Rhinolophus ferrumequinum: one gene and its partners. The protein of the gene in region 1 purifies or fractionates together with the protein of each later gene. This does not show direct contact. Links are inferred from orthologs where the notes say so. Each region holds a gene or a part of one and is shown in the gene's direction. Other genes may lie near its edges. The genes, in order: NDUFS5, NDUFAF1 and AIFM1.

Region 1 (10,577 bases):
GATACTTGAGTTTTAAAAGCCTGACAAGTTCTGTAAGTACCCCAAGTCTGTTCTGTGTTATATTCCCAGTACCTGACTTGGAATTAAATACTTGGTCGGTTGGATTTTGACCCCTGAGAAAAGGGGCCTCAGTCTAACAAGGAATATATAAGCAGGCAAGGTAAAAGTCTGTAAGTATGTGAATGGGAACTGGTCATGGACCAAGGGAAAGAGGTGGTTCTAAGGAGCCATAGTAAGTGATCAGGGAAGGCTTCATTCAGGGAGGTAGAGTTGAAGTGAAGTTTCAGAGGATGGATAGGGCTCCGGAAAGGTAGGAACCGGGGCTTGACATGAGCAAAGTCTGGGTAGTGGCAAATCATGGTGTGCAGGGATGACATTCTTGTTTAGCCAGAGTAGAAAACTCATGTATCCTGGAAACAGAACTTGAAACTAGTTAGTAGGGGCTAGATAATGAAGGGCGTTGACTGCTAGGAATTTGGTCCTTTGTAGGAATCTGGACAGTTTTGGGGAAACTAATGCAGGGATAAGAAGGGCAAGTACCAAACTGGTGACAAGTTGACCAGTAAAGAGCTGCTTTGTCCAGCCTGTACATTGATTGGAAAGGATGATTAAACATGGCCCTGGCTAAGAAGAGCATGGCCATTGAAGAATCTTTCTAGTTTCAGCTTCCCTCTTCCCATAGGCACACTTTCAAAGATTCTTTTTCTTTTGGTTTGGTTTGTCTTTGCCAATTCAACCCATCACTTTTCATGGTGCTCCTATTGTTCCTCTGCCTGGAATTAAATCCTTTGTCCCTTCAAGGCAGAGTTACCTATTCATTTGATAAATGTGTATTGAGACATACTATTTGCCACATACTGTTGTGGGCTTTAGGACCATACCACTGAGCTGGACAGACAAGGTCCCTGCTCTTGTGGTACTTACATTCTTGTGAGGTAAGACAAGCAAACTAGTAAATAGGTTAATCCAAGATTTAAAAGTACTGTAAAAAAAATTGTAATGATAGGGAGTAACTAGATGCCTAAATTGTAAGAAAGCTTTCTGAGGAGGTGCAGTATTTACACAGTACTTCATATTATGCCTTTCTTAAAAAGCTGTGTAAAGCATTTATATGTCTATATGATTATTCCACTATACTGTGCATCTTCATAGTGGAAGATGATACTATACACAATATTTGAGCTATTATCTGTCTCTCTGTTGGTTCCTAAATGATGAGTGACTAAATGAATTATGTGGCTACTCTTCTCCTTTTCCAGTCATCAGTGCACTACTTGAAACTCTTTCCCTTAACTCTCAGATCAAGTAATTTTAAGGCTTCTGCAAGTTGTCTAACCAGGGTAAGAGAGATGCAGTCCTTACCCTAGAGAAGTTCAAAGTCTATGGGCAGAAATGTGATAAAACTTGCTTTGATAAGTGTTCTGTGCATCTGGAGAGCGAGCGAGCAGGGTGTTTCCTGGGGAAGGCTACTCAGCTGCCCTGGCAGGTTCCCTCCAGGTAGTTTAATTACCCTGATCTGTACTCAGGAAGACTGACTCACTAATAAAGCTATTGACCTATAAAACCAGACTCCAATGTGTTAATGTATGAGAAATGTATCAGCTGCAGTAGACTGCCCCACTGGCCTTAACAGCATGTTCTCTTCATGTAACCGTACCACTTGGGACACCTAATTAAAGTCAAGAGGCACCTCCACGTATCAGAATGAGGGGGGTTAACTGCCACTATGAGCCTGGCACAGCCTTCCTCCCCACTTCAGTTTGCTTCAGTGGTTCCTGGTTCTGTTGCATCTTCAACTTGACATTTCTCCACCTCCAAATGGCACTTTTTGTCTTTTCAGCAACTTTTTTTTTTTTTTTAAGATTTTATTGGGTATGGGGAACAGGACTTTATTGGGGAACATGTGTATTTCCAGGACTTTTTTGTGGGAGTGGGGTGGGGGCGTGTGGGGTGGAATAGTGTGTTTTTCCCAGGACTCATCAGCTCCATCCAAGTCAAGTTGTCCTTTCAATTGTCAAGTTGTTATCCTTTCAATCTTAGTTGTGGAGGGTGCAACTCAGGTCCAGTTGCCATTAGTTGCAGGGGACACAGCCCACCATTCCTTGTGGGAGTCGAACCGGCAACCTTGTTAGTTGAGAGCCTGTGCTCCAATCAACTGAGCCATCCAGGAGCTCAAAGGCAACTAATTGACTTCATTCTAGTTTCAGAGGGCGCAGCTCGCTTGCCTATGTGGGAATCGAACCGGCAGCCCTGTAGCCCAGAGCTTGGGCTCTAACCAACTGAGCCACCCACCCGCCCCCATGTTCTTTTTTTAGTTTAAATGATCACTCTGGTTTCCATTACATTCTAGGCCTTGAGACCCATTACTTTTTCAGGTTACTTTGCTTATTGGCTTTATTGCCTCTGTCTTACAGCTCCAGGCTTGGAGGTGAAGGTTGAGGGAAGTGTCCAAACTTACTGTCTTCCCCAAATGTGCTAGTTTATTAAAATCTATGTGGCAGTGGTGTCAGATACAGGCCTAAAGTTCCCAGTGTGCTAAATTGTAGTAAGAGGTATGCAAACATAAGGAAATCCTATAGGTCAAGGACAGAAGCCCCATGAATGGAGACCTAGGGGGACTTTAGACAGCCTGTGACTGTCCACAACTTGTGCTCACGCAGCCCTTGAGGCTAGTGTTCAGAGGGATGGGAATGGGGGCCTTCAGTTAGGTCTTCCAGCCACCTTGTGCTTTGAAGATGGGAAGATGGCTATTTGGGAAGAACAGCTCACCTAGTCAGGTTCCACCAGGTCTCGGAGCCTCGGTTTTCCCGAATACAGAGTGGAAGAAGCAACAGCTCAGCCTTGCCTCTTAGCGCATAAAGTCCTTTAATTTTGTTGTGAAATCACACTTCCGCAAATCAAAGGATCTGCAAAGTAAAGGTAAACGGGGGTGGGAGGTGCAGAGGGGACAACACGCCCTTAAGGTTGAGAGGTAAGCAAAATCCCAGTGGGCCAATCCTAGTGTGTGCCCCCCCTCCGCCCGTAGTCACTATGGCAACGGCGCAGACTCAGTCTGGCATGGGTCTCTGGGAATTGTTGCCCACTATTTGCGGTAGAGAAAGACCTGTCCCCCACATCCGTCACACCAGTGCTGACATGGGACTCGACGCATGATCGGTGTAGCAACAGAATATAATAGAAACTTACAGGGCGGGCAGGACCTCAAGAAAGCCCTAGTAAATGCCTGTGAAATTCGGGAAGCTTTAACCAGAAAATGTGATAAATAGTCCACGGATTAGACATTCACCTTGGAGACTGTGGGGAGGTGGCAGCGAACTGGCGGGATCATTCCAGGCAGAAAAACCTGCACCTACAGAGTTTGGAAGCATGAGAGCAATTCTGGATGGCTGAGAACACACGGAGGTTAAATAGGGACTGGTAAGCAATGGGATCTAAGGATTCAGAAATGGGCAGAAATCAGATTATGAAGGGTCTTGAATTCCAAACCCAAGAACGGGGACCTTTCCTTGGATACACTGACACCTTACACACAACCTGAGCAGTATAAATGACCCCCTTCTTTGTGTTTTCCCTTGTTTTGTTCGTCTGTATTTTATCACTTCCAACAGTATTCTGACTGTGTCTTCATCGCCAAGGGTCATGGAGTGTGATAAAAACTGAGTGTTTTTGGAATGATCAGATGTGAGTTTTAGAAAAGCAACCCGCAACAATAGAGTGGGTAAGAAGGGAGCAAGGCTGGATGTAAAAAGCCATCAGAGTTCACAGTAAATTGCTTCCCCTACCTCCAATTTTCCTTCCATCCAAGGGTTGAAATTGGGCAGCTCAAAGGCCGTTTCCAATGTGGGTTTTGTTTGGCCAGCACTTTTCAAAAAATTAGTTGCGTCACATTTTAAAAGTGGGAGGTCTCACATTTAAACAGTAACAAAAGATTTCTGGCTTCTTTTGAAAAATCTGAAGATTTGACACTTTGGGGCCCTGATTCTGTCAACAGTAATAGTATGGAGCTGAGTAGCTGCTGCTGCCTTCGAGGACATATGCCCATTTTATCACATTCCCCACCACTCCTTCCATCCATCAAACTGATGCCAAGTACCAGTTGCCATTTATCATGGTGCTTTTGTTTTCATTTCCTTATAGTGAGCTCTGTTTGGCCTTTGGAGGCATCTGAGTGGCCCATCTTTGTACTTACCTATCCTGCCTGGTATCTGAGGAGTGATACAATGAAATTAGTATTTTAGGAAGATTAGTTAGTGCAAACCAGACTGAAGTGAGGAGCTGGGAGGCAGAAAGGAAATAAATTAGAAACTGTTGAAGGAATATTTGAGAGAACTTGGTCAGTAAATATTGGATGAAAGATGAGGAAAAGGTAAAATACAACTTCACCGAGTTTCCTGCCTGAATGGCTGGGAAGATGGTACCTCGAACATAAGCAAGAAAGTGGGAGAAGTGCAAAGGGTGGTTGTGATCAATACCTTGCTACCTCTAGTATTTTGTGGGCTAGGGCCTTGAGTTAGCAATTCCATAAGCCTCCAGTGTTCTGCTGGACATGCATTAGATGCTCAGGAAATTCTAGTTGAACTGAAACTTATCAAAGGTGGGGTATATCTAACGGAGAACGGAAGAGAAAATTGGAATGCTTGAGCGAAATCAGTAAGTTGTGGGACCTTAGAAATACTCTTCAGAGTGGGTGATTCTGGGACTTCGGGGGCAGTTAACCCCTTTGGGCCAAACCTATGCAGATAATTTGGCAGGCAAAAATGGAGATAGGGTTGAAATGGTGTGGTTCCCTGGGAAAGGAATTAAAAAATCAAAGAGACTGGATGGCAGGACTTTTCTTGGAATACATTGGAACAAGCTCTTGTTTGGGCATTAGTCGGGATTTTGGACAGTGAGCCTGGGAAGTTGGAAGAGTGGACTTCTCTAAACGTTTTTGAGAGCACATCACTTAAAAGGAAAATAAATTTTCATCCCAAACCTCAAATAAATATTTATTAAATACAACTGCGGTGATGTTATGTACTTTATAAACCACACAAAAAGTAGAAATTAAGATTGGATAAAAAATAGAAATATTCTAGTATTTTCTTCCCATATGCCCAGTGTGTATTGTCACACCCAATGGTGCGCGCGCGCGCGCGCGCGCGCGCACACACACACACACACACCACTTGGCCCCGCTGTAGTCAAAGGGAAGCACTGGAGGTGCTGAAACAGGAGGGTCACTTTAACCAATCCGCAAACTGTTGAAGCTGAGACATCAAAGTACGGCCACTGCCTCATGCTTTCCACATTCCAGGAACCGTCTTGGTGCTTTACACATAACATTTAATCCCCAAAAGCAACCTTCGGCTGTAGGTACTATTATTATCTTTTAAAATCTTAAGATGAGGAAACTGAGGCACAGTGAGGTTAAACTTTCCCAGGATCACCCAGAAGTGGCGAAGCCATAATTTGAACCCACCCGGCGTGGGTCCACAGTCCATGAGATTAACCACTACTGGAGGGGCGGGGGGGACACTTTTTTCTCTCGTATGGACTTGGTCACGTCCTTCATGAATCAAAGTTGTGAGAGTGCTAGGTACAGTGCGAGGAGGCAACAGGAACTCACTAACGGCTAGGCCGCCTCTAACGCGGAGAAGAAGGTCAGTTTATCTACGGTCAATACTCCAGAGGTCAGCGCACACAGTCGCGCAAGCGCAGACCGATGGGTTTAGTTCCCTATGGTTTCCGGGGCGAGGCGGCAAAAGGAAGGTCTACTCCCGGCGTCGCGCTGCAAGTGTCGCGCTGCGGGCGTCCTTTGCGGCAAGTCTCCGTGTCGCAAGCAGATCATCCAGTAGCGGCGGCCGGCGAGGAGACTAGGGCACCGCGGCTGGACGGTAAGGCTTGCGTTTGTCCGCGGGGCAATGCAGCTTAAGGAGCTTCCTTCCGAGATTTCTTTAACAAATTTCCTCTTGGATTGCTGGGCGTCCGTTCTCCCCGGCCCGAACTCTGGCCGTGTTTTCCGTTTTCCCAGGCCCCTTTGCCCACACAGCCAATGTCACCGAAGCCTGTAGACCGCACCTTTCTCGGTTCTCTTTCCAGGCTAATTTCGATTTCTGCCAGTCTAATGCTTTGGCCTTCTGTTACTTAACCTGAAGCCCACGCTCCTTAACCCGGCTTTCAAGGCCCTGCGTGATTTCGGCCCTGCCCACAGCTTCAGCTCATTTCGTTCTTCTCGACATGCACTCTGCGCTCCAGCCAAGTCTGGGTCATTATTCCCCAAACGTACCCAGCACCTCCTGCTGTAACTCGTGCTGTGCCCTACTGGGCAAATACTTTGCTTACTAGGCAAATTTAAGCCATCTTAAAAGGCATTTTCAAGTTTCCTGGGCAGAGTTGGTGTTTCCTCCTTTGAGCTCTTAAACCCCGTCGTGTTCCTTCCTTCGGGTTCCTAATTCGCTGTGTATCTTTATTCCGGTACTTTGCAACTGCTTCTTTCTCTCCATTCCAGTGCCAGGAACGTTATTACTCAGTAAATGACTGAACGAATGGTAGAAAGTTTAAAAGTGAAATTCACCTGTAAATCTACCATTCATACGTAATTATTGGCATTTTTTGTGTGCTTCCTCCCAGTCTTTTGCAGTTTTTCTTTACTTTTGTAGTCCTTTTCTTCATGTGACATTAAAAATGTATATTATCCTTTTACCCCAATAGCTGTCATATTCTACAAAGTAGGTACTGGATTTAACTATCCATTGTTGCACGTTTAAGTTGTTTGAAATTAATATTTTTCAATAATTACTGAATCCCTACCTGGTCCCTGCCCTCACATTGTTCAGTGTGGGAAACATTCAAGTAAATAGTCCATTACAGTGGAGTGCGAAATACTCCCATGGGAAGTTGAGAATGATGTGCTAACATACAGGAGGGATGACTTCTCAGGAGAGGTGTCATCTAAGTGATATGGATAGAAATATGGAAAGAAATGTTTCTGTGCTTATGCTATTTTTGTTCTTTTCAGTTATTTCTTCAGATCTGTCTCTAAGAATTGGTATTATTGAGTCAAAACATAAACGTTCTTTTTGACTTTTGATAAAAATGACTTTATCAGTATAGAGAGGATTTTTATGCATTGTTTTTAAGTTCTGGTTCTCTTTTCCTTGGGTTTTGTGAAAGCACAAAATTGTTCCTCTACCATAAACTGGAAGAAGCTGTCTAATGAAAAAGTTTGGTGAGAAGAAATTCGGAGAATAATGTAAAATATCTTTCTAGAGGGCAAATTATAATCATCTCATTTTTTCTTGGAAATTTCTTATTTGACTGCACTTTTATGACATTATCTTTCTTATTTTCCATTTCAGCCATGCCTTTCTTTGATATACAGAAAAGGCTGGGTGTTGACTTAGACCGCTGGATGACAATCCAGAGTGCTGAGCAGCCACACAAGCTTTCATCTCGGTGCCATGCTTTTGAAAAAGAATGGATAGAATGTTCACATGGAATTGGTGTTATCCGCGCAGAGAAAGAGTGCAAGTTAGAGTATGATGATTTTGTAGAATGTCTGCTTCGGCAGAAAACGGTGAGGAAGTGATGGAGATGGGAGCTGAATTACTTCCTTATTTCTTTGGGGCTACTTTTCAGTGTTTTTAGTTGGTCATTGGGCAGTGACTTGCCCAATGTGAATTGGCAAGACTTGTGGTAAAACACCTCTAAGTAGGTACCTTGTCAAGGAAGTTAAGTGCCTTTAGTTGTGAGGAGAACCTGTTGTTGCTCAGTGTTCTTCCTCATCTTCTCACATATTTTCCTTAGCATTGTACCTTGCTTTAGCCATCAGGCAAGAAATTACATATGTGTGTCTGTTTCTGTTTTTGCAGTCGGCCATAAAGCAAAAAATATCAACCAGTGTGGGATGTTTGTCCTTGAAAATCTTTGGGTAAAAATCTTTCAGAGTCATTGAACCCTTTTGAGGAAGACATTAAAACCCTACAGGTCTATTTACATTGAACCTGACATAACAATCTTAGTTATTAATGAGATTAGATTGCCTTAGGCGAGTCTAACCAAAAATGCAGGGGGAAGAGAATGTTAAGAGCATGGTGTCTACCTCTTCAAGAGTTGAGTGAGTTGTCTAACATATGGGGCCCTATTCTCCCTTAGAGAAGTCATTTTTGGGTGTGGGGTGTCGTTTTGCCTGTTTCTCTGCACCAGAAAAACAAATAGAAATGTTTTTATTACTCCTAATTCCTTGGAGTTAAGGGAGACAATTTAGATTATCAGTTAAATTTATCACAAAGTTATCTATATCAAAATTTAAAATTTCTTATCTTTTAACATCTGCTCTTGGCATTTGGATAAAGTGAAGCCAAACTTGGAAGGAAGGAGAGGGTGCCAGGTAATACTTTTGTATTGATTGCTACTGGAATATTGACCATTAAGTGAGTAATATAGTATAATGTATCTCATAGGACAAGTCGGTCATGGCTGGCCACCTACCGGCTATTTAGTCCACGACATGTTTTAACTTCTCTTCTTGTGAGCCCGTTATTCCTTGCTCAGATTAAGACTTTACTCATGATGGGAAATTCACACCAAGAGGAGGCAGTGTGGTGAGGTGGAAAGAACTTTGGATTGGGAGTTAGGAGAGCTGGCTTTTGATGCCAGTTTTGCCACTACTAGTTTTGCGACTTTGGACAAATCACTTCTTTGTCTTGGTTTCCTTATTTGGAAATATTAAGGAGTTGTTCCAAGGTCGTTTCCTCATCCTGTGAGGAGGCAGTGTGGTGAGGTGGAAAGAACTTTGGATTGGGAGTTAGGAGAGCTGGCTTTTGATGCCAGTTTTGCCACTACTAGTTTTGCGACTTTGGACAAATCACTTCTTTGTCTTGGTTTCCTTATTTGGAAATATTAAGGAGTTGTTCCAAGGTCGTTTCCTCATCCTGTGAATTTATGAATAGAAATGTTACTGTTTTAGAGGTCACTCTAAATGACTAGATAATTCTCCATCGGTGAAGAAGCTAGTGAAATCGGGGAATTAGAATCAACCGCCACTCTAAGTGCCTAGCATGTAATAATGTATTTATTTCTCACAACAATCCTGTGAGATATTTTACTATTATTTTCCCCATATACAACTATTATAAAAACTTAAGGCAAGGAAAAATTAATGCCATTGCCTAAGGTCTTCTAGCTAGTAAGTGGTGGAACTGGGATTTGAACCTGGCAATGCTGGCTCCAGAGCCTGTGCATATATACCTATAATGTAACATTAAGTGGTGATTAGTTCTAGTTTGGAGAAAGATTTGATATATGGTGTTGTGATATCTCAACCATGACTATTCCTCTGTTGGGAAACTTTTTAATAGAGAAAAGTTAAGAATGCAGTCTTTTAAAAATAGTAAATGTTTATGTTAGTATTTAGGATATCTGGAGTTTTTTCTTCGGAAGTTATATCCTAATTCTTTAAGGTTAATGGAATATTTAACTGAATACACTAGCTCTTCATGTTTTTGTGAAAACTTAGTCATTCACTAAAAAAAAATGTTAATTGAATCACCTATTATTATCAGGAACTATTCTAGGTACCAGGAGTATACCAGTAAGAAAAACAGCAAAAAGTTCCTGCCCTGATGGAATTTATATGGGTGTAGGGTGGGGTGCAGAAAATTAACAAACAGGTTAAAAAATAGTGTGTCAGATGTTGACAAGTGCAATGGGGAAAAGCAACAGGAAAAGGATAGGAAGTACGGGGCGTGGGAGCTAAGTAGATGCTCTTTTAAATAGGGTGGTCAAAGAAGACAAGCGACAACACATTTGAGCAGAGACTTAAGACCCGGTCTTATATAAGACCCGGTCTTATTTTATTATAAGTATGTTATTATACTATATATAAGACCGGGTCTTATATAATATAATGTAATATAAGACCGGGTCTTATATTAATTTTTGCTCCAAAAGTCGCATTAAAGTTGGTTGTCTGGCTAGGTCTTATTTTCGCGGAGACACGGTATTTCAGTGAGATAAAAGAGACCTTACATTGGCTATTTCTGCTTCATTCATACTATTGAACAGTCACGAGGAATATATACGCTGTGAGATGATCTCAGCTTTTAATATTTTCAAAGATTTTAGTATGCACAAGTATGCATCTTAAAGGTTTTTAACCTGTATCTTTTTGTTACTGTTTTTGTAAATACTTGTATTCTTATATATAATTGGAACATTTTAGTTATTACATTTCAAGGAGATATTATATACACCAGAAATTTATTTGTTAAAAGCTTAGGAAGTGATTTCAAGTTAATTCTTTAAAGACGGCCTTCATCTCAGAGGCCCGCTAAGATGAAAAGCTTCTACAGTTTAAAAATGAAAGCGGTTTCCCTTCAGTTCCTCCAGCCCTCACTTTCTGGTGCATATCTCCCCCTAGTTAAAATACTTTTCTCCTTTGGCAGATGAAACGTCTTAGTGCCATCATGAGGCAGCGGGATAAGCTAATAAAGGAGGGGAAGTATACGCCTCCCCCCCACCACCAGGGCAAGGAGGATCCCAGGCCCTGAACAGAGGAGTTGCTGATGGCTGGAGGCTGATTTCACATCTGGTCT
Region 2 (10,961 bases), on another chromosome or scaffold:
GGAGTCAGAAGGAATCCACAGCAACGTCTCCAGAATGGATGGTGACCTGGGCAAGGTAAATAGCCACAGGGACAGACAGAGGTGGGAGGACTGAAGAGCTGCTGAGGAAAAGTGCAGTAATTCACGGGGGTTTAAATATGAGGTGTTAATTCCTATTCTTTCACACCAAAACTGTTGGTAGAAGTCCATGACTCCAACAGTGGACATTAGTCAGTTTTCAGGAGTAAGGAATGGAACCAATGTATACGTGGTTTTGAGGGGACAAAGAGGTATTTCTGTTTTTTGTAGGGACTGTTTCAATAAGAATGTACTGTTTTTATAATATAAAAAAAGAAAAATCAAAACAATGAGCATAAACATGAAAATCCTTCTAAAGTAATAATCCCAAAGAGGCAGCATAACAATCCTTTACATTATTGGCACTAAATATGGCAACTTTCCCTTCAAGTTTCCAGCAAAATAATTATAGTTGTAGATAAAATACTGAGTTACATAAATGCCCATAATTTTACAGAATTGACAAAATAAAACCTGTTTTCAACCATCCAAAACAAAAGGTACATAAAAGTTTAAAGAAGTTCTACTGCTAACTTGTTTTTACTTAGTTCTCTCTCCCAATACACTTTCTAACTAATGCAGATTTCCATTCCTTAAAGGGAAATCATCATTATAGCAGAGGCCCTGCAGCAAGAACCCCCAAACTGACAATGGTCCTTATCTCTGTAGGTGATCCTTTTGTGACCAGGCTAGAAAACTTGGTAAGCAGCGTTTGCTAAGTAGCATCTGCTTATTCAACAAAGATTTATTAAGTGCCTACTGTGTGTCAGGCATGCATTATTTTCAACTACCTACCTGATGTCGCCACTTGGATTATCTCACAGACAACTTTAAACTCTACACATCTAATACTGAACTCAAGATTGTCACCTTTAAACCTGACCTTCCTCGAGGGCTCCCTCTTTCACGCCAGAACCTCCTCATCCTCACCCCAACTCCAATCAGTCATCAAGTCCTCTCAGTTATATATCCTGAATATTATGTCCAAATCTACTTTCTGTTGTCTCTGTAACTACCATACCGATTCACGTCAGGCATTCATTCAGCAAATACTGTGTGCTGCATGCCAGGCACGGTTCTAGGTGCAGAGATAGTACGGTGAACAAACAGCCCTTCCCTTCTGGAGCTTCCAATCTAGTGGAGCTTATGCTGTCAACCTTCTCTCACCTGGACTCTTCTATCCATCCGCCACCTAACTGGTGTCCCCCTCCAGATTACTACCCACATAGCAGCCTGAGCAAACTTGTTAAAAGGCAAATCTTAACACCTCTTCCAGCTCAAAATCCTTCAATGGTTTCTCATTGCTCTCGGAATGAAGTCTAAAGTCCTTACAATTGCCAACATGGCCCTGCCTGTGGTTCTGAACCTTTTAACCTCCGGAGACAGTAAGCTCAATTATACCTCATGACTCAGTGTACATGTACATGCATATACATGAAACACCAATTTCACAAAACAATACTTACTATGAGGTCTGACACACTTGATGCTTTCTATTTGATTCAATTTCATTTCTATTTTTAATGCTGGCTGTGATCCACTAAACTCAAAGGGTCCAAACAGACTACTTCTGCAGCTTCATTTGCACCACTCTCTCTCCAATTAGTTATATTTTCATCACTGCTTCTTTCAGTTTCATGCGGGTGCTAAGTCCTTCCTGCCTCAATATTTCTGTACATGCTGGTCCCTCAACCATGAACACTCAACACTTCCCTGGACTCTTCGATCTCTGGCTCTCCTTTTCCCTGACACGTATTCCATGTCTCAGTTCACATGTCACTCCCAAAGGCTCGTATATAATAGGATGCCACACTCAGTATCCTGGCTCTTCCTTCACACAGTCTGTAGTGAAATGACCCTCTGAGCAATGCTGGCCCCTGCTCCGCCCTCCTCTCATGCCCCTCCTTTATTTCCCTCTAAACTCCCTGAAGGTGGAAACTGTTTCTACTTTGTTCACAGGAGCCCTAGTGCCTGGCACTGTGTAACACATTTGTTGGAAGAGAAACAATCTCTGCCCTTGGGGAACTTACAGTCTAGGAGGGGAGCAGTAAGTACACCAACAGAACTGGTGTCAGAAGATGGGTTTTGAATTTTTCCTAAGAGATTCTCTGTTAAAGCTCCCCTGAGACTCAATCTTCTCGGCACTATTTTCAAAGAAAAGTTGAGTGAAATTACCAAGTGAGTTACATCAAGTTAGATGAAACATTATGACACAAACTAAAAACTTCACAAGCCAACCCTGATATTTCTCACAAGTTCGCCCTAAACTTTACTGTAAAAAAGACTGTGTTAATGAGAAACACAATTTTAAATTTCCCAACTTGAATGGGGAAGGTTTATGGAAGGATACTTTGTAACAATGATACTTTTTTACATGTAATATCTAAAAATAATTCCTAAAAAGTACTTAGGGGGCCTATTCTCTCAAAGATAAATTTAACCATTGCCACTTCAAGTAGGATGAGCAGAGAAAAACAGGACATGACAACATAAGCATCATTTAAAATAAGAAAAGAAATAAACTCAAGTAATCCAATATGTATGTAGCTCAATTTTTTTCCTTGAAAAAGGCAGAGTAAAGTTTTCATAAATACTGAACTTTATCACTCTGAATAGAGAACTCTGATTCCTTTATTATCTTGGATGCTTTTCATTTTCTAGAACCCACTGCATAAATATTATTTCATAAAGAGTGACACATATTATCTCCATGGAGGCACATGATGGGGTAAAAAGCCTAGGTTTCCCTCAAATTCTGTTTTGTTTTTTTCCAAGAGGTGCCAAAGGCAAGTATCTTCATGATTTGCAATTTTAAAATGTTGAAGAAAGGGTGTGGCCAACATAAAAAGTAAAGTCACTATCAGGTCACATGTTAAAAGAAATTCTTCGAATTCTCAAAGGTTTGAGCTTTTAAAAGCACCGAAAGTTAAAACAGATTTTAAACAACTCTGATTTAGTTACTACATACCTCTTCCCATCAAGAAGCAAGGCAAAAAAAAAATACAAAAAACAGGCCTCAATAAAAAGCATCCAACAATTCAAACAGCTTCAGAGATCTAGAAGAACCACCAGCTTTGCCACCTTAAACATCTCTGTTAATTTCTTTCAGTTATACCTGCACACACTTCAAGACACGAAGTTATTTCTCTCCCAAACTACTTAAGAGTGTCCTGCTAAAAAGATCAGCATCAGAGGTGGTCTCAAGCATTAACATAATAAGTACCTGGGCTGTACCTGGTAAAAATGCAGAGTCCAGGGCTCTATCCCCTGAGGATCTGATTCAGTAGGTCTGGGATGGGAGCCCCTGCAAAGTACATTTTAAATAAGCAACCCAGGTAGCTTCTCACACAGGTGGCCCTCCTCCCACCACCAGAAAAAAACCACTGTAGAAGACTCACCTGCCTCACCTTCAGCAAGGACTAAGTTGATGATAATACTTCTGACATAATGGCTTAGATTCCCATCGGGAAAACCCAGGGATAAAGGACCTCCTATGTTCCACTCTCACCCTAGACACTCAGAGAGTTGTCATGGTTTGTTCTTTTCCCCAAGTACAATACACTAGACAACAAATACGATGCTATAATCCCAAATGAAGACCTAGAACTAGATGGAGCAGTCCAAGGCACCTTGGTCAGGAAAGGCCCAGAATGCATTCGTTTTGTTCTCAGGATTCTTAAAGACCCCCAAAGCAGGCTGACTGAACTTCTGCTAAAGATTTCTAGTGAAAACTTCTAGAGGGCAGAGATTTTTCTCTGATTCCTCTGACAGCCTGGCACAGTGTTGAACAGACAGGTAGATTGAAGGCACTCTGTTAAGATGTGCAGGGAAAGAGAATTTTGATCTGGTTCCCATCTGATAAAAGAATGACAATGAGTGGTTGAAGAGGAGGAAGTTGAAATTGCTGTTAAAATGTATTAGGTATTACTTACACATTTCATGCTAATTTCTTTTTACAAATAGAGTTGGGTTTAAAGTTGCAATCCCCTCCAATTCTTAACTTTGGAAAAGCTCTTTGTGGATCTCTCTACCACAAAAGGAAGCTCTCAACTCATTTCATTTGTCAGAATTCTGTGGAAAATCACTAAGGACAGAATAATCTGCTTATTTCATTCATCATCAGAACCGACATCTTGACAGTGCTTTACCAAGAAAGCCCCCCAAATAATCTTTATAATTGATGTACCAATTTTCTCTAAACTATTCAATGTACTTTACAAACATGAATTCTAGCAACACGGAAAATGGCCATAATACACATTCTCATTTTGCAATATGAAAAAGTAAAAGACTAACAGATTAATTGGAAAGAGTACATACGCCTTGTTGTTGTGCAGATTTGGGTTCAAATTCCAACTCTACCAATTACAAGTTGTGTAAATTTGATAAGTTACTTCTTCAATCTCCATTTTCCTCATATATAAAATGGGGAAAATCATACTTAACTTCATAATTTGAAAACTTGACAATTTAAATAAAGCACCTAATTAAGTGACTAGTTCACCCTAGGCACTATGTAAATTGTAGCCGATGTCATTATCGGAAATAACTACATTTCTAGATCAGAAAATAGTCAAAAACAAAAAAGTTCTAATTCTCCTAAGTGTCAGTCTAAAATTATCAACCAAACTTTTACAGTCAAGAATATATATTTTTTATATTTTTGCAAATTTCAAGAGCCTTTCATTGAGAATATTTTTAACTTACCTTTCAATCGTATCCCCAAACAAGATTTCTATCCCTTTGATACTTCTCCAAAGGCCCCATGACTTCCCCACCCCATACCATCATTTTCAAAATAACCCTCTTCAACACACCTCCAGCCCCTCCTCTTAAAGTCCTCCCCTTCCATGCCCCAATATTTTAGTCTTAAGACCTCTGGCCTAATACAAATGACGCCCAGGAAGCCACTACACAAAAGCTTTATTTGCAACTGCTTGTACCAACATTCTTACGTACAAATACTTGATCCTAACGATAGCACAATTATTGATAGATATACAAGGCTAATGTTATACCTAGATTTTACAGTTACGACCAAAGATATAGCTAGAAAACAGCATAGCCCATCCTAAAACTCAAATTTTCAGATTCCAAGTTCAGTACTCTCCCTACGCAACTTACAAAGCTACTACTCTTGTATATTCTTTGTATCATTTGTTCACAAAACACAGGGGAAAACCCTTTTTTGCATCACTAGAGCATTACTACAAAGACAGCTTCCTCCCTACAGTGCTTTTCTAGAGTATATAAACAGTTCAAGCAACCCCCCCAGGACATTGAGACCAAAAGTTACTTTCTACACTTCCTGCACAATCTTCAAGTAAGAAAGAATTCTGGGATGCTGCATGAAAACGGCTAAGAGATCTTAGTCTCAGTCCTTCCATATCGCCCTATGTACTGCTCCACTTCTGACCTCTTTCCTTCTTCTAAGAGTTTTCTTCAGTCTGATATCTCATCAGGGACCCTTCTCAACCACGAACGACCCTAGTTGCCAAAAAGATTCGTGCCCGCAGCTAAGTCTTCCTCGCTAAGCACCGCAGAGGGTCTCCGGAACATTTACGAATGCCCCTCCTCTCCGTCCACACTCCTTGTCTGAAAAACTTCATCTTCCAGAGTCCGCACCTTCTCGTCACCTACCCCCCCCAAACCCCAAAGCCCCACGCTCACCCCTTGCACCTCCTCCAAAACCTCCCAGCCTCTCAGGTTGGCCGGCGATACTTCCTACCTTTCCCGGCCCGGATCGTTTGGCCTGCAGCCCGCCGCACCAATCTGGTCCCGGTAGATGACGGACCCTTCCGATCCCCCGAACCCGAACCCGAGGCCCACCAGCCAGGTCCCTGCCCCGCCTCCCCGCCCAAGGCGCCAAGTCCTCGGGGCTCAATCTCCAGGCCCCGGCGGGACTCCATGGGTCCCGGGAGATGCAGGGAGGATAGGAAGGAGGCAGCAGCGGCGGTCAGGGAACGGGGCTGGCTAGGCACTCGGGTCGGGAGGCCCCGGGCCCGGCCGGCTCCCGGTTCCCGTGGCCCGGACTCAGCCCTCCCGCTCCGCCGGCCCGCGCCTCCGCGGCCTGCCCTCACCTGATCCAGGTTCTCGTCGCTGCCGCTGTCCTCCGTATCGGAGTCGATCACCACGCGGCCTTTCCGCTTCTTCACCATGGTGGTCCCCCGGCTCCCACGCCGGACGCCGCCCGGACTCCCCTCTAGCCCGCCTGCCAGTGGGACCGCCACTGCCGCCGCCACCGCCGCTCGACCCACACAAAGGCGACCGCGCATGCGCGGTCCGCTCCGCCCCTGGCCCCGCCCCCTCCCGGCGCACGCCGTTCGCTGGCGCTCGGCGCCCCGCCCTGCTCCGCCCCCGACGCAGCGTGGGAGGCGGGGCCCAGCACCGGGCTGGGTTCCCGGTAGCGGACCACTTTCTCTTTCCCCGCGAGGGCCTCTGGAAGGCTTGGGTGTGTCTCTGCTGCGGGGCCGAAGCTTAGTGGGCTGCCTACCTATGTCTTGGACTGGAGACGTAAGCATCCGGGTCCGCTCTGAGGAGCTTTTCAACTGTCCGATACTGATGGAGTGTGGAGGACGACGAGAGCTGCCCTCCTGGAAGACACAAGTCGCCTAGACCGCCCCAAGGGATGGAGGATGGGAGAAGCTTTCGTATCTCGGTGGTGCAAGTGACAACTGAGCTGGGACTTGAAGAATGCATCTGAGTTACCCAAAAGAAAAGTAAAGGGAAAGTTGTACCAAGCAGAAAACCGCGTGGGCAAAGGCCCAGCGATAAAAGTTGGGTTCAGGGAACTGAAAGTTCATTATGGCGGAACAGATGACATGGTGTGTGGGGATAAGGCTGCGGAGGGACACGGTGGCCACATCATTCAGAGCCTAATAAGCTATATTAGAAAGTATTGAGAGATTTAAAACTGAAGAACATAATTAGATTTGTGTTTTAAAAAGATTACTCTGCCTGTAGTGTGGCAAACGCATTAGAAGGGGGGAAGACTAAGGGCAGGGAGACCATTGAGGCTGTTGGTGTCATTTTAACAAGAGATGATGGTGTCCTGAACTAAGGAAGAAGCAGTGGAAATAGAAGTGGATGGATAATTCGGAATGTAGAATTACCAGGACTTGGAGATTAGTTGGGAGAGGGATAAGGTGAGCTCCCAGACACAAATGACACTCAGATTCTGCCATAGGAAGCTGGTGGTCAGTGGGCCCTTGGCTGAGACAAAGAACACAGGTGGAGGAGAGGTTTAGGAAGTGGATGTATGTGGGAAATAAGTTCAGTTTTATGCCTGTTGAGCTTGAGGTCAGCTCATAAAAAGGGCAGCTCCAGAAGTGATTTCTCTCTGGGATTTGGAATACAGGGTAGAGAGCATAAGCAATAACAACTTGAAACTGTTCTCAAAACTTTGGAGTCCATTAATTCTTTATTCTGGTAATGAACTTGGGAGTTAGACCCCAGTCTCTCCTAGGCATTACTGGGCACAGGCGGGCTGATCTCAAATCAGGCCCAGAGTTCTTGGTCTCTGGCTCCTTTTTTCTTTTCCCCCTTTACTGTGTAAATTATATTTTCTCCAGCAGGTTTACAATACATATCACAAATGTGCATGCCTTAAAATAGTAATAAAAGAAAATATCGCATCATACATAGAGAAACTCCTGGGGAAATAAATACATACCTAGGTATCCAGTTCGCTACCAGTTATCTTGAATAGGTGTTCATCATTCAGGTAGAAAAAACAACCTAAATAAGGCGCAGCTATCTTTTTACTCCAAAGGAGTTTTCCTAAGATATAACCCCTAGACTTCTCTCCCAAAACAATATCCTTGGAACTGAGAACATGGCCAAGATGATCCAAAACGACCAGGCCAGCTCCCCCATTTCTAGCCACCCTGAAGCCGGGTGCCCTTCTGTGAGGCAGGGTCCTCCTTTTGATGACCTGATTATCTCTATTAATTGGTTCAGAGTCTGAAAACTGGGTCAGATCTGAGAGTGGACAAAGGATGATCACTTTTTATTGGGGCAACTGCCCTCAGCCCCCTGATCAGCCAACTTTGATTTCTCCTGATTCAAAGTTGGAGAGCACCCTTGGCTATCCATCTATTTTGTCCTTGGGGATGCTATGTTCTGTTAACCATCTCCATAATTCTCTGAGGGTCAGGCCTCCTTGGTTGTCTTTCTGAGCTCTCCACTCATAATAATTGCATCTACCTGGCTTCTGGCAGTTAAGTGCTGCCACCTGACCGCCTGTGTCAAGGTCCTGTCACCCCATGACTGTGGTTAGCTGAGTTTTGTAACAACTTCTACTGTCAGTCCTGTCCTACATAGGAGAACCACTACTGAACTTTCAGGGATGCCTGTGCACCTTTTACCTTCACATTCCTGATGGCCTTGGTAAATGGAATATCCTGTTGGTCTTCCCATGGAACAATCATTTGGGGGGATTTCTGATCTTATATAGTAGATCCACTTTGTACTTCTCAGCTTTTCAATCCCGTCCTACACCATGTGCTTTGGCAACTCTGGCTTTTTTTTTTTTTTAACTTCATGTGGGCTGTAGAGTTTTCCATGCTTTAAGAGTCATTCTAGTAGCAAATCTGCACCATTTCCTGGGTCCTCAGCAGAGTGATAATTTCTGTGGCCCAGGAGAGTGCTCCCAATCAATAAACACTCCTTAATCCAATTTTACAATTTGGTCCCCTTAATTAAGCACTCTCAGAATCCAGTGTTTTGCTACTCTTCCAGCTTTTGCTATTATGTGCTTAGCTAGTTCTTGCAGCACCTTTAGGGTATAGTCCCTTTCCTCCCTTATCAGGTTCAATCTGTCCCCCACTGGGTTATGTAATGTTTTAATACTAGTTATTGGCCTATCCAGGAGGGAGGTAAAGGCAGATGCGGTCTTATTTGGTACAGGCCTCTGCACTGTCTAATAGCAAGATGGGAGAGCTGCATGGTGAGCCATTTCTGCAGGTTCAGAGGGCTCAGGAGGGTGATCATTCAAGATCTTCAGTGGCATCAATCATAACCCCAACCCAAATGTCTGTCTGGTCCCATTATTTCCCAACTAGGGCCTTGGCTTAGATGACCTGCCTGGCTTGGAAGTAAAACCTTATTAGAGCTCAGACTATTCTGATCATTGTCCAGGGCCTCAGTTTCCCCTGCCATCCCACTGCAGGTGTTGAAGCCCTCTTCATATGCAATTAAGGAGGCCCTCCGGCTTTCATACTTGGCTTTCAGTAACAGTCAGCCAATTCTACTATCATAGTTCCTATGCCCCACCCCCATATTTTTAAAATACCATCCCACCAGCTGGTACCTTCCTTTCCACCAGCATACTATCCCTATTCACCAACAATGCAATATTTAACAACTGGACCATCAGATCTTCATTGCTAGCTGTGTGCTGGGTAACCCAGCTTCTAAACATTATTTTATTACCTCCTTTCTCAGACCACTCTTGTGGCAGGTTGGGTGCTCCAAGAAGCAGACTCTGAGATGGAGTTTAGTGTGCAGAATGCTTATCAGGGAGTGTCCATGGGGTTGACAACTGTGGAAGGGAGAGATAGTGCATACCTGACTACAGAGTCAACTGATCACGTGGGTACTCTGAAGCTAAAATAGATGGTCAGAGTTGTCCCACATTTGGGCTGAAATGGCCAGGCCTTTATAGCCCACATATTGGTGGGGGATGGATTGGGGTTTACCTGCCTGGAGTCCACTAAGATGAGTCAAAGGAAAAGAATATGTCTGTGTCCAGATATTTATTAAAGTGTCATTAAAAATATCTGGCCTCAACACTGCAGATAGAAATATCCCCAAATATGGGTATACAATTCATTTTGTTTAATGGAAAATCTGCTTGAACACTGCCAGCTCTAAGTAGTTGACCCTCATTACTTCCTAGTCTGGATTGCAGGGTGGGCTTCCCCATCAGGAGGGACTGTCCTGGATAAATGGCCTTGGATCTCAAATCAGGCCCATTTTCTCTTGTAGGTGAATGAATGGTCATTCTGGTTTGTCATGTCTCCTCCTGTAAAGTTGCTTGGCATGAATGAATCTGAGTAATCCTCTGAGTAAAACAGATACAATCAAGTTACTGGACTGACAGCAGAGAACTAACCCTGGATCTATAGTGACACCACCATGACCCCAAATTCCCATGAGGTAATTTCCTTTTCTGAAACCATTTATTTCCTTTGCCAGGATCATACCCTGATCATCCTTAAACTCTGAAGGGACTCCATCAAGATATGAAACTGCTGAATCATATTAGCTTCTTGCCTGAACTATTACAATATTCTTTGCTGGCCTGTATCACTACAGCCCTACCTAAAAGTTTGCATGAAATTGTCCTTTGTTCGGACTCTGGAGGCAGTCCCCATTCTGTGTCTAAATTTGTGCAGGTTATTGTAGAACGTATGTAGTTTAAAGGATATAATAAAATCAGTACCTTCAAGGTTTTTATCTTCCTGTTGAAGAGAAAAAGGCTTGTACACACAAAATGACGAATGAGCAGTTTAGTCATGTTTATAATCTAGTTTTCATTTGAACATAATTTAGTGTCAGTGTATAGCATAAAGAATAGATACTGGCTGTCAGAAGGAGAGTATCATTTGAGATGGATGTATTAGGGAAAGCTTTTAAGGAGAACATGGGATTTAAGGTGTGTTCTGAATAGGTGCAGTCAATGTATCAATTAGGACCTATTGGTTGCAAGTGATATAAACCCAACACAGGTTAATTGAGGAAAAAGGAATTTATTAGTGCTTGCAAGTTGAGGAAAGACTAAATAGCCAAGCCATAGAAAGACAATAGATGTTCCTGGGCCTCAGGAACAACTAGAATTGGTAATATAAAGGCTCACTTAACCTTCTTTTATCCTCCTATTCCTGGCTCTCAGAACCTTTATT
Region 3 (11,328 bases), on another chromosome or scaffold:
TCTCTCCACCTCACGCCTGTGGTCATTTGAGCTGTTTGACCAGCAGGAGGGAGGTTTACCTTTGCAGGACAGGGTCTGACCATAGGCTCAAGAAAAGGCCTGTTGTGGGTCTAGTGGAGTTGGTCTTTAGTGCCCTGTCTTTTGAAGTGACTTTCCTGCCCATAACCCTGCCTCTCTCTGTTCCCCTGACACATTAAGCTGCCCTTGTCATGTCCCCCCTCCCGCTAGCCTCTGCACATTGAAATATCCTGGTCCTATCGAGTTTGCACTGTTGATGAACTGAAAGTGAGTACAAATGGTCAGACAAGAATATCTGTACTTAGCTGATCTCACAAACTAACGAGAGGGTAGGAGCAAGACACTTACTTCCCTTGGCCCTCAGAGAAGTTGCTCTGCATTTTTACAAAGGCCTGCTGAAGACAATACCAATAGAATGAATAATGGCATTAGGTACCCCAGACAAATAAAGAAGATATCATTTGAGGGGGACTGTTCCAAAAGAATAAGTTTTGTCTATTATGGAGGGCTGGCAGGTGACCCTGTCTCAATTTCTTTAAAAGGGCTCATGACTTTGTGCCAGAACCACCCCACTCCACCCCTATTCCAGCTCAGCCATAATCTTAGCCATAAACTGTAATTCTCTGTGGATTTCCATTCTTTCCTCCCCTGTAATGTCTCAGGGCTTAACCAAAGTGGGTTTTTGCACCCTATTGGCACCCAAGAGGAAGAAGAGACCTCAAGATGTGTAAAGTGCTTTGGGATCCACCCCACAGAGCAGGACCAGGTTACCTCATACCTCCCTCTGCCCACAGGTGCCGCTGCTCCTGGCTCAGGGTCAAGGATGGGATCTCACATGCTTTTCCTGGCAGGAGCTGTCAGGCAGGGACAGAGGGCATGAATGCACCCTCTCCGGCCTGCCCTAAAAAAAAACGGGCAAGGTGGGAACCAGGCCGCTGAGAAAGGCGAAAGAGGATGAGGAGGTGCTGAGGGTCTAGGGCTCAGCAAGCAGCGACGCAGCCACGAACCTGACCAGACCGTTCACAACCACTAGAGCATGCGTCAGGCGAGGACCCCTCCCAGAGCCCTCCCTTCCCGGACCTGACCGTCTGGATCACCTTGATCTTCTCGCCCTCGATTTCTACGGTCTTCTCCCTGAAGTCCACACCGATGGTGGCCTCAGTCTTGTCCGGGAAGGTCCCCCCACAGAAGCGGAAGGTCAGGCAGGTCTTGCCCACGTTGGAGTCACCAATAACGATGATTTTGAAGATGCGAATCTGCACGTACTGGTCCAGCGACGAGTCAAGCTCCAGGGATGCCAGGCTAGCTGCCGAGGTGGGCTGCAGGCTCCCATGGCCCAGGATGGGCTGCGCCATCTCCCAGGGACCGGACCGGGGCCCCAACCCTCCTGGTGGGCTCCACACAAAGAAAACGGCCACGTTAGTGCGCTCCAGGCGAGCGAGCTTTGTGCGTGTGTGTGCGTGTCCGTGAGTGTGTCCGCGCGTGTGTGCGTGCGCCGTCCCCGTGCGCGCGCGCGCGCGTGGGGTGCCTTTCACCCCAGGTCCCCCTCCTCCTCTTCCTCCTCCTCCTCCTCCTCCAGTGCACCCTCCTCGCAGCTCGGAGGCACCAACACAAAAGCCAGTCAGGGGAGGAGAGATGGAAGAGAGACTGCAAGGCACGAGCCCTCTCCTTCAGCCTTGCCCTCGGAGGGGCGGGTGGGGCGTGCGACCCCGCCTCCACCGCTGCAGCTGCCGTGGCGCCTTGGCCTAGACCCTCCCCTGTCTGGACCCCAGGGACACACCACAAAGAGGAAGCTTACAGAGGAAAGGAGGGTGGGGAGAGCGGCACACACCACCCCGGGATGGTCCTCCTTTCTCCATGACCCCATTTATTTTATAGATCTCAGGCTCCCCACCCCCATTTTCTCGGAGCGCACGGGGGTCCGCTCTGGAGCATTTCAGCCTCGGAGCAACACCACTTTACTCGGCGGGGACTGGGTGCGGGGAGGAGACACCTCCAGAGCTGCAGGCAGCTGAGCTGAGCCTCTGCAGCTTCCTCCCAAGCCTTGGGATAAAGGGATGCTCTGTTTTATTGAGGAAGCAGGTGCACTCGCGCGCGCGAGGAGCCAGGGAGGGCGCCGCCAATACACGCTGCAGGGCACCGGTGTGCATGTGTAGGGGGAGTTACTGTTTCTCTCACAGACTTGCCAGATGTGTGTGTGGGGGGGTGCGTGCCAGGCGCCAACCTTCCCTCATCACACCAGGAACACCCATCTTCTGAATGTTCAGAAGAGCGGCTCCCATTGGCTGCGGCAGTCAGTTGTGTTTGACTGGCCAATGGGGAAGGCCGGCCACCGGAGGGAGCCATACAGGGGGTAGGAGAAGCGGGGAAGCTAGTGGTGGCAGCTCCAGCAAAAGGGGACTTTGTTTCTGGGGCTAACCATTCCAAGCCCAGGTGGAGGGCTCTTGGGACAAGGCATAAATCTCACAGCGTCTTGCATTCCAGAGCCCTCCATGTAATCATAAGTCCTTCCAGAATGGTGGAGTTTCAAAAGGAATTGGAAACCCCTAGGAGGGTTCACCCCTCTGCAACTGAATGTAGAACAAAGTGGTTGGGTCTAATTTGTTAAAAGCCTAAATTATGCTTGGAAAATGATAAATGAACAGAACTTTCTTCTGGTAGTGGGGAGCAGCTTCCCCAAGCTTATTAAGCATCACACATCTTGGTCAAGACCAGTATTCCCTTTCCCAAATGTGATTTGCAGGTTCACAATTTCTTTAAAATAACTTGACTGAGGTACAATTTCCACACAATAAAGTGCACCACTTTCGTGTTTGCTTTAAGACTTGAACCATCCTTCCACATATTTCATAGGCTAAGGTAATATTAACATATGCCAGTAGCACTGACATGAGTTATTTGCTAATGTCATCAAGGTCAGGGACTCCAGCAAGACACATGAGCTGCCATCTTACTTGTGTGGGGCTCAGCTGCAGAAGAGACAAACATAACTAAATCCATTCCCACTGTGAGAAAAACAATTCAGTGCATCAGTGATAGGTCTGTAAACAAAGTGGAATATGACTGCTCAGCCCAGTCCAAGTTACTCAGAATGGCTGGGGAAATGGGGTCTTCTAGTTATACAGTGTTTCCCCGAAAATAAGACCTACTCGGACAATCAGCTCTAATGTGTCTTTTGGAGCAAAAATTAACATAAGACCTATTTTAATTTTTGCTCCAAAGGACGCATTAGAGCTGATTGTCTGACTAAGTCTTATTTTCGGGGAAACAGGGTAAGCTTTTTAGTTGAGTTAGCAGATATATTTATAGCTAACTCTTTTAGCATATATGTGGGTTACCCATTTCTAAAACCCTAGATCATGCTATTCAATATTAAAACCATCTCAAGAAGGATTTAATCTTAGTTGGATAATCCAAGGTCATCATTATGAATACCAATTATCATTATACAGTGGGAATGGCAATCACCATTGTACAGTATTTTTGTTTTTTATGATTGGTTGATGTCTAGATAATAGTTTGCAGCATCATTGTCGTCTGTATTTGAAGCTAATGCTCCTGGTAATCATTATCTACAGAAGAGCAGCTATTAAAAGGGGGGCAGGTAACTATGAATTAGGCATATCCAACAGGTAGAGCGGAAAGAAGCTTTGCCAATTTATAGCCAGACTTAATGCTAACTTTCTAATATAAAAAAACTATATTCACATAAGATTATTTAGATGTACTAGGTTTACAATTAAGTTTGTGAACTTATTGCAACGATGTTGCTAACATTTTTTTATTTTATTTATGAATACATTATGAATTTGTACCAGCTGGACAGTTAACCAAGTTTACTATCGGGAAGTGCTGAAAAGGCTGCGTGAAAAAGTTAGACAACCTGAACTTTTCGCCAACAACTCAAGGCTCTTACATCACCACAATGCACCAGCTCACAGCACACTGTCTATGAGGGAGTTTTTAGCTAGTAAACAAATCACTGTATTGGAACACCCTCTCTACTTACCTGATCTGGCCCCCAATGACTACTTTTTTTACCCAAAGATAAAGGAAATATGGAAAGGAAGACATTTTGATGACATTCAGGACATCAAGGGTAATACGAGGACAGCTCTGATGGCCATTCTAGAAAATGAGTTCCAAAATTGCTTTGAAGGGTGGACTAGACGCTGGTGTCGGGTGCATAGCTTCCCACGGGGAGTACTTCGAAGGTGACCATAGTGATATTCAGCAATGAGGTATGTAGCACTTTTTCTAGGATGAGTTCGCGAACTTAATTGTCAGACCGCATATGCTTCCAGCAAAAAACTCATCACTGAGTCTGAGAGTTCACATTATATTTGTAAGATAGAAACACTAATTTCTGGAGACTTGATATCTCAAAGTGGGCCCCATTTCCTAATAAAAAGTGTTTGTTACCTCTGTGGGATGAGATTTTGGGGAACTTCCACTTATATTTTTGGAGTTAGTTTTTGATGTGTGTATATTGCTTTTACAAAAAAAGATGAAATATAATTTTTAATTAAAAGGACAAGAAATCTACCTCATTGCACCTATTGCAAAAATAAGTTAAAAGTGCTGTACAATGCCTTTTCTTTGTTAATTGTGCATCATTAAATGCACAATTGACTGTCTTTCAAATTTACCCAGTTGTTTTCATAGGTACCTTATCATCATAATTTTGACAGTGTTTTCCAAAGCCTCATCCACCAACAGATATGATTAACTTTTTATTTAATCAATCCATGTTTATTATTGGCTTTTAGAAATAGCAAGAAATATCAACATCTGTGAAACTTTTAAAATACTAAATATAAATATTTTTTTTACCTTATTGTGGAATTGACATTTTCAATATTTATTCCCCAATGCAGCCCTAGGGGAAAAGTTGCCCACTGCCTGCACTTCTGAACATTACTCTTAATGAGCAAGGGATCCCTGGATCATTTTCACCGAGTAAAGACTGCTTTCTGGGTTAAACTTCCTGAAATGCCTTAGTAATTTCGTTCTCTATCCCTATTCTACTGAAAGCCAAAAATAATGTCATCACCTACACGATTGCGGCCAAACACTTTGGCTAGTTCAAATCTGGCTCCACCATATTAACCTGTCCTCATTTACTTCCTAGTATGTACTCTCTGCCATTGTCTCCTGAAAATGAGCTGGGTTTTGTTTCTTTTATACTTCCAAGCCTTTTGATTTAAACAGCATGGTGCTTCCTCTAAGATGCTTTATTTATGAATATTAGCTCATTTAATTTTCTTATCAACCCTGTGAGATTGGTAGATGAGGAAAGTGAGACACCGTTAAGTGACTTGTCCAAGTGGCAGAGCCAGGATTCAACCTGGGGCAGACTGGATCCAAAATCAATGGTGTTTAATCACTAAAAATATTACCTTCGGTCCCAATGTATTCACCATCTGAAATATCATTTCTCCTCCTCCATTATTTGAATTTCACTACTCATCCTTCAAGACAGGCTCAAGTAATACTTCTTGCTTGAAGTCCTTCCTTAGCTATTTCATCTCATATTCTTTTTTCTTGCTCTTGCACTACATCAGATATTATTATTTAAAATGACCAGTGTATGTCATCTCCCCACCTGGACAGTGACCACTTCCTATATTTTTCGTATCCCCTAGAGCTCTTTTCATATAGTCCAAATGGCAAGTGCTCAATAAATACTTGTTAAGTGAGTATGTAAACCAAAACTTTGAAAAAGGCATATGTTATGTTTTGCATACAGCCAAAATTTATTTCCAATTTAGCTTATATTTGATAGCCAAAACCCCTATTTACACTCAGCCCCGCACCCTACTCCTCCCACAACTCTGAAAGTCCTGCTTAGGCTTTCTCTCGCAGAAAGTCTGTGAAGCACGAACGCTTTTTGCCAGCACCTGCTCTCAAAAAACGAAGTCATAATAAAATAGCAAGAGACTATCCACAGCATCTGATACAGCACTTAGGACTCAGAATTACACAATATAAAAGCGGTATGGGAAAAGAGAGCGCGGAATGAAGACATGCCCCAGAATAGTGGTAAAGTGCCCAGAATAGGGGTTGGATGGGAAGGCAATTTGTAAAAGACGGAAGTCCAATCCGAATCTGGAAAGCCAGGAGCCCCGGCTCAAATCTATGGAAAGACTGGAAGTGGACTACAGCTAGAGAGAGAATCCGGAAGGCTTAGTACTTAGTAGTAGCTAGTGGCCTAAAACAGAAAAACAAAATTTGGTGCTGAGGCCACGCTTTTTGAGGTGCTATTAATATCAGTTCCCAACATCGACACAGCGGCAGCACTCGCCACAAACAGCCAGGCAAATCAGCCCCACGGGTCCCTCCTTGGACAGCTTTTCAAAGTCGCTGAGCCGAACATACTGCCACCAACCCGTGAAAACTAACAAGCAAGCCCAGGGACTTTGCAAGGGTGCAGGAAGCTAGGCGCATGCGCAAATCTTCTCTCCGTGTGGGCCAATCACAATGTGGCGCTGAGTACTACGCCTGCGCAGTAGGCCTCCGGTCGCGCTTCCTTTTCCTCTGCACTAGTAGGCCGGCTTAACTGTCCAATGCCCACGCCAAGCTGGGAGGAGGAGCCTTCGTAGAGTGCGTGTGACGGGAGCAGGGGAAGCGGCCGGGGGCCCACGGCGTTTGACCCGTGTGTCGGTGCGTGAGAAGAAAGGAAGGAGGAGGTACGGAGTAGCGGTTGCCGAAATGTTCCGGTGTGGAGGCCTGGCGACGGGTGCTTTGAAGCAGAGGCTGGCACCCTTGGTGCGGACAGTGTGCGTGCCAGGCCCGAGGCAGAGGAACCGGCTCCCAGGTGACTGACCCATCCGGGACAACCCCCACCTCGAAGACCAAGGGTCTGGGCTGCACAGGCTCCGTATGCCTCGCAGCTCACACCCCCCCCCCCCAAGAAAAGCTTAAGACACAGTGGTGAGAATTTTGAGTTGGCCAGATCCAAACCATGAGTTTTCCAAGCCGTGCTGACCTGACCTTCAAGGGAATTGAACCCTGTAGTCGGCTTGAGGCCTTTTCCTGAGAGGGTTTGCTGTTCAGGGATAACAGAACAGCTGGCTGTCTAGTAGTGTCCATTGCCACCTCCAGGTCACCCCAGGTCCGCCTTTTTCAATCAATGAGGTTAGGTGGACTTGCCATTTACCGGTTGTGAGACTTTAAATGGGACACTTAAGCCCCACGCTTTAGTTTATTCTGTAAATAAGGGGTATTACTTGCCCTACCTTCCAATCCCCAGATGAGATCCATAGATTTGAGGACCCTGTGAATGCCCCGGGAAACAGAAACAGTGAAGTGCAAGTAAGGAGTCAATTGGTTGTGCACCAGTCACCAGGAGAACTGACCCAGAATTAATTTGGGATGTCTGGTCAGTTTTAATCTTAGTGGTCTTTAATACTTCAAATAAACAGTTTGCAGAACACATTGTATTTGCTCTCCATGAAGTTGTTTCATCAAATTTTAGAGCTGGAAGTAGTTTTGCAGTAAAGTTCAACCCATTCAGTTTATAGGTAATAAACTGAGGCAGAGAGGTGAAATTACTTGTCCACAGTCATGTACCTAATTAATAGGTATGGCAAAGGATAATTTGCCAGTCTTTATGCCCCTAATCCAATTGCCACAACTCCACACTGCTTCCTAAAGTTTGATCTCGAAAGGTTAAGAATGAGTCTGGTTCCTCTTTAGCCTATTGCTCATCAGATATCTGAATTTATCTTGAGCATGCTCATTTTCAACCTGCACAACTTCATGGGGGTAAGGAATTATCCACCCGAAGGAGGTGTGTTTTTTTGTGTTTTTGTTTGTTTGTTTGTTTTTAAATCAGTAATGTTTGACCACCCGAGGACACTCACATTTTCAGTGTCAGAAGTTATCCTTGAGGCCTTTACAATGTGGAACCACCTTCTGGGTGCTTTAAAAATGAAAAAGTGGAAAACATTTCACTTAGATTGTTACCTTTGAAAACGTGCATTTGAACAGTTTTTCCAGTTACTGTGCCTCAAGAAAATGTTTTCTGATGGGTGTATTGGAGGTATGTCCTAAGACATATTGCTCTTGGAACTTAAAAACCTCTGCCTTACCTTTTAAACGAATACCCCGTCTATAACGTCATCTGTGTGGGCTTTGTGCAATGAAATGAGGGTGCTCTATGCACGTTGCACAGAAATTTACATAGAAACTTAGGTAAGCTGAAGATTTTCATCCACACTGACCTTTCAAACTTTGTGTACTTATTTTGCTTAAAACTCACAACTTGTACCAGCATTCTGAAATCTGACCGAAAGTTCTCATCAATTAAATTTGGATTTCCAAAGTTAAATTGATTTGTTAGACATTTGAAGGTGGTTGGTGATATTGGAACTAGTACTGAAAAATTACAGACTCAAAACAGGTTTTTTCCATTACATGACTTTGTACGAAGGTAGTCTGCTGTAGAGTATATTCTGACTTCTTGACCTCTCTTTTCATCCCTTTATATACACTTATTTTTTGTCCTTTGGCCAAGCACCAGAGTATAACATCACATGCCTTTAGAAGTAGGTGGGACTGAGGTAACAATTTCAAAAAGAAATGATTCTATCATTTTAGGAATTTACCCCGTTTTGCAGCTTGATTACTAATTGCTTTTAATCTGATTTCTTTTTCACATAATCACATCTACCATATGTTTTTGCATTGTTTGTTTATATACCATTTCCCTCCTTTTTTTCTTCTTCCCCCTCAATTCTTTGCCAGAATGTTAGCTGACTTTAAACCTACCTTGAAATGATCTCATCCACATCTGTCATCACTGTCAGGTTCATTTCCATAATACCGTGTTTCCCCCAAAATAAGAACTAGCCGGACAATCAGCTCTAATGTGTCTTTTGGAGTAAAAATTAATATAAGACTCAGTCTTATTTTACTATAATATAAGACCGGTTCTCATCTAACATAATATAAGACCGGATCTTACCTAACATAAGACTGGGCCTTATATTAATTTTTGCTCCAAAAGACGCATGAGAGCTGATTGTCCAGCTAGGTCTTATTTTCGAGGAAACATGGTATGTTGCCTTTTGCTTTTAAACCATAATTGCTACTATTTGTTTATTTACTGTATTTCGATGCTCTGCCTCTTTCCAGAAATAGTTGAAGGTAATTAATAGTCACCACTTTATGTCTGCATTCAGCACTGAGGAACAGATAGGTTAGGTAATAGGTATTTTCTGTTCTGTAGTATTTTATTTGGTCACCAAACATCGTGCTGCCCATGTGATCAAGCTGATCACTGACCCCTGACCTGAGGGTCAAATGTTGGAACATTTTTCTCGATTCAAAATCCTTCTCACCTCCTTAAATAGGAAATAGGAAATGGGACTACTTGTGGGCAAAGATCCAGAATTCATGGACACTGCCAAATGACGCTTTTTCTTTCTTTTTTTTTTTTTTTTTTTTTAAAAAGCCAAGAAGATTAGCCTTTCCCCACTCTTTCTGCTGAGGCAAACTTTTCCAGAAGAAAATTTTTAGCAAGTCAGCCTTTTCTAGACCAGTTAATGTTATATATTTTTTTTTTTTTTTTACCATTTTACGGGAGTTGCTGCATATTGTAACTTTCTTCTAGATCATGTTTCCAAAAGTTGCCTGGTCATATAAATCGAGTGGAGGGCCTCCCCCAAACCTACTGAATGAGAATCTCCAAGACAGAGATCTGGGAATTTATATGTTTTTATATTTTAACAAGCCCCTTGATGTAGTTCATGTGATCAGGCAAGTTTGGGAAATACTGTTTTGAATGAATAATGACTCTTTTGCTTCTGTTCCACTGACCTAAGGATTAAAAAAACAAATTGAGTGACCTTGAGTCTCTTATGATTTGTATTGAGCCCATTTTCTGATACTCAGAATAGTGGCAGCCATTCTCCCCTCCTAAACTATACACTACCTGGGAACAGAGATTATGCCCTATTTATTTTTGTGTCCTCAGTGTTTTGCACAGTCTCTGGCACATGGTAAATTCTCAGTGACTGAGTCCTTGTACTGTACAGGACTGAACTTTGCAGAACAGTTAAATTTATTTTTTTCATCATCTAAATCGTTTTTCCTCTGGTGCCTTTTTTCACAGTGGTTCACACTCTACTACAGTTATTACTGCTCTGATTCTCTAAAATTCCAGCAAGGGTTGATACAAAAGAAAAAAAAAAGGCTGGTAAAGCTTAGTAGTTGTTGGATTCCTTATAAAGAGGTACCTAGCTACAGTGAACAGATCATCTAGGCTTGTTCTGTCCTGTATTTTATCCATGTCAGAAAAATCAGTTTGGCATTCAGAAGACAAGACTTAAGAACATGTAGACCACTTACCATTTGAGCAACCGAGGTGCCTCAATTGTGTGGATGTATTTCTGGAAAAGGCCTTCTGGGAACATGGGAAAACAAGAGATTATAAAATCTACAGAAAAGAACTTGGTGATGATTTAGGTACTATTCTAATGCTAGTCTGTGGTATTCGAGGTTACTGATTTAGTGTTAAGCAACCTGAAATAAATGGGAGCTGGCTAAAACTTTGCAAAGAATTCTTCAAAATGTTTGGTCATTATCACTACAATTGGAAAGAATTTTTAGTTCCTTCTTTCCTTCATTAATTCAACAAACATCTATTGAGTGGATACCTACTATGTGTTAGGCACTGTTGCTCTGTGTAACAATTCTTGACAAGTCAAGAATTGAATCCTTGCACAATACATATAGTGAATATAGACAACAGTATTGTATTATAATCATCAGATTTGCTAAGAGACTAGATCTTAATTATTCCAACCACTGAAAGGAAATGATAATGTGACATGATAGAGGCGCTAATTACCACTACAATGACAATCATAATATGAAAATGTATCAAATAAAAAAAAGAGTTGAATCCTAAGTGTGAGGAAGAAAGTGCTATCTCTGTATGTGTGATCTAACTGCAGAAAACCCAAAACAAGTAGACTGGTGCTATAATGACAAGTCAAGGAGTAGGTTGGCTTTCCCAAGTTAGTAAGACAAGTGAAAAGGCATGGTTTAGTTGTGATGTAGAATTTCCTAAAATTTTGAAGCTCCTGGGGTGGGGAGAGATGTAGGAGTAATTTTATGGGTAAAAGAAAATTGATGGGAAATATCAACATCCATACAGTACCTATCACCTTTTACAAAATTAAAGTCACTTTGTGGGTATGTAAAAAGTTGGTTTATTAATGATAATAGTGTTGTATTACATTTCTTATCCAGCAATATTTTAGATGATAACCAATTTACTTTTTAAAAAAAAAATAATTTACT

Evidence for each region.
Region 2: the proteins of NDUFS5 (region 1) and NDUFAF1 purify together in Homo sapiens (co-immunoprecipitation; 3 studies listed by BioGRID and IntAct, with this or other methods). This does not show direct contact. The link is inferred for Rhinolophus ferrumequinum from reciprocal best matches to the Homo sapiens genes NDUFS5 and NDUFAF1.
Region 3: the proteins of NDUFS5 (region 1) and AIFM1 purify together in Homo sapiens (affinity purification with mass spectrometry; 3 studies listed by BioGRID and IntAct, with this or other methods). This does not show direct contact. The link is inferred for Rhinolophus ferrumequinum from reciprocal best matches to the Homo sapiens genes NDUFS5 and AIFM1.

What each region holds. Positions count from the first base shown.
Region 1 is NC_046292.1:27,320,512-27,331,088, forward strand, and holds the start of NDUFS5 (NADH dehydrogenase [ubiquinone] iron-sulfur protein 5), read left to right. Parts: upstream 1-5,718; 5' UTR 5,719-5,876; intron 5,877-7,340; 5' UTR 7,341-7,342; coding exon 7,343-7,558; intron 7,559-10,427; coding exon 10,428-10,532; 3' UTR 10,533-10,577. UniProt on the Homo sapiens protein: Accessory subunit of the mitochondrial membrane respiratory chain NADH dehydrogenase (Complex I), that is believed not to be involved in catalysis. Complex I functions in the transfer of electrons from NADH to the respiratory chain.
Region 2 is NC_046289.1:63,889,810-63,900,770, forward strand, and holds the start of NDUFAF1 (complex I intermediate-associated protein 30, mitochondrial), read left to right. Parts: upstream 1-6,490; 5' UTR 6,491-6,881; intron 6,882-10,044; 5' UTR 10,045-10,215; intron 10,216-10,961. Other genes in the region: RNA polymerase-associated protein RTF1 homolog, read right to left, coding at 6,138-6,332. UniProt on the Homo sapiens protein: As part of the MCIA complex, involved in the assembly of the mitochondrial complex I.
Region 3 is NC_046284.1:25,859,009-25,870,336, forward strand, and holds the start of AIFM1 (apoptosis-inducing factor 1, mitochondrial), read left to right. Parts: upstream 1-6,544; 5' UTR 6,545-6,729; coding exon 6,730-6,835; intron 6,836-11,328. Other genes in the region: RAB33A (ras-related protein Rab-33A), read right to left, coding at 1,104-1,373. UniProt on the Homo sapiens protein: Functions both as NADH oxidoreductase and as regulator of apoptosis.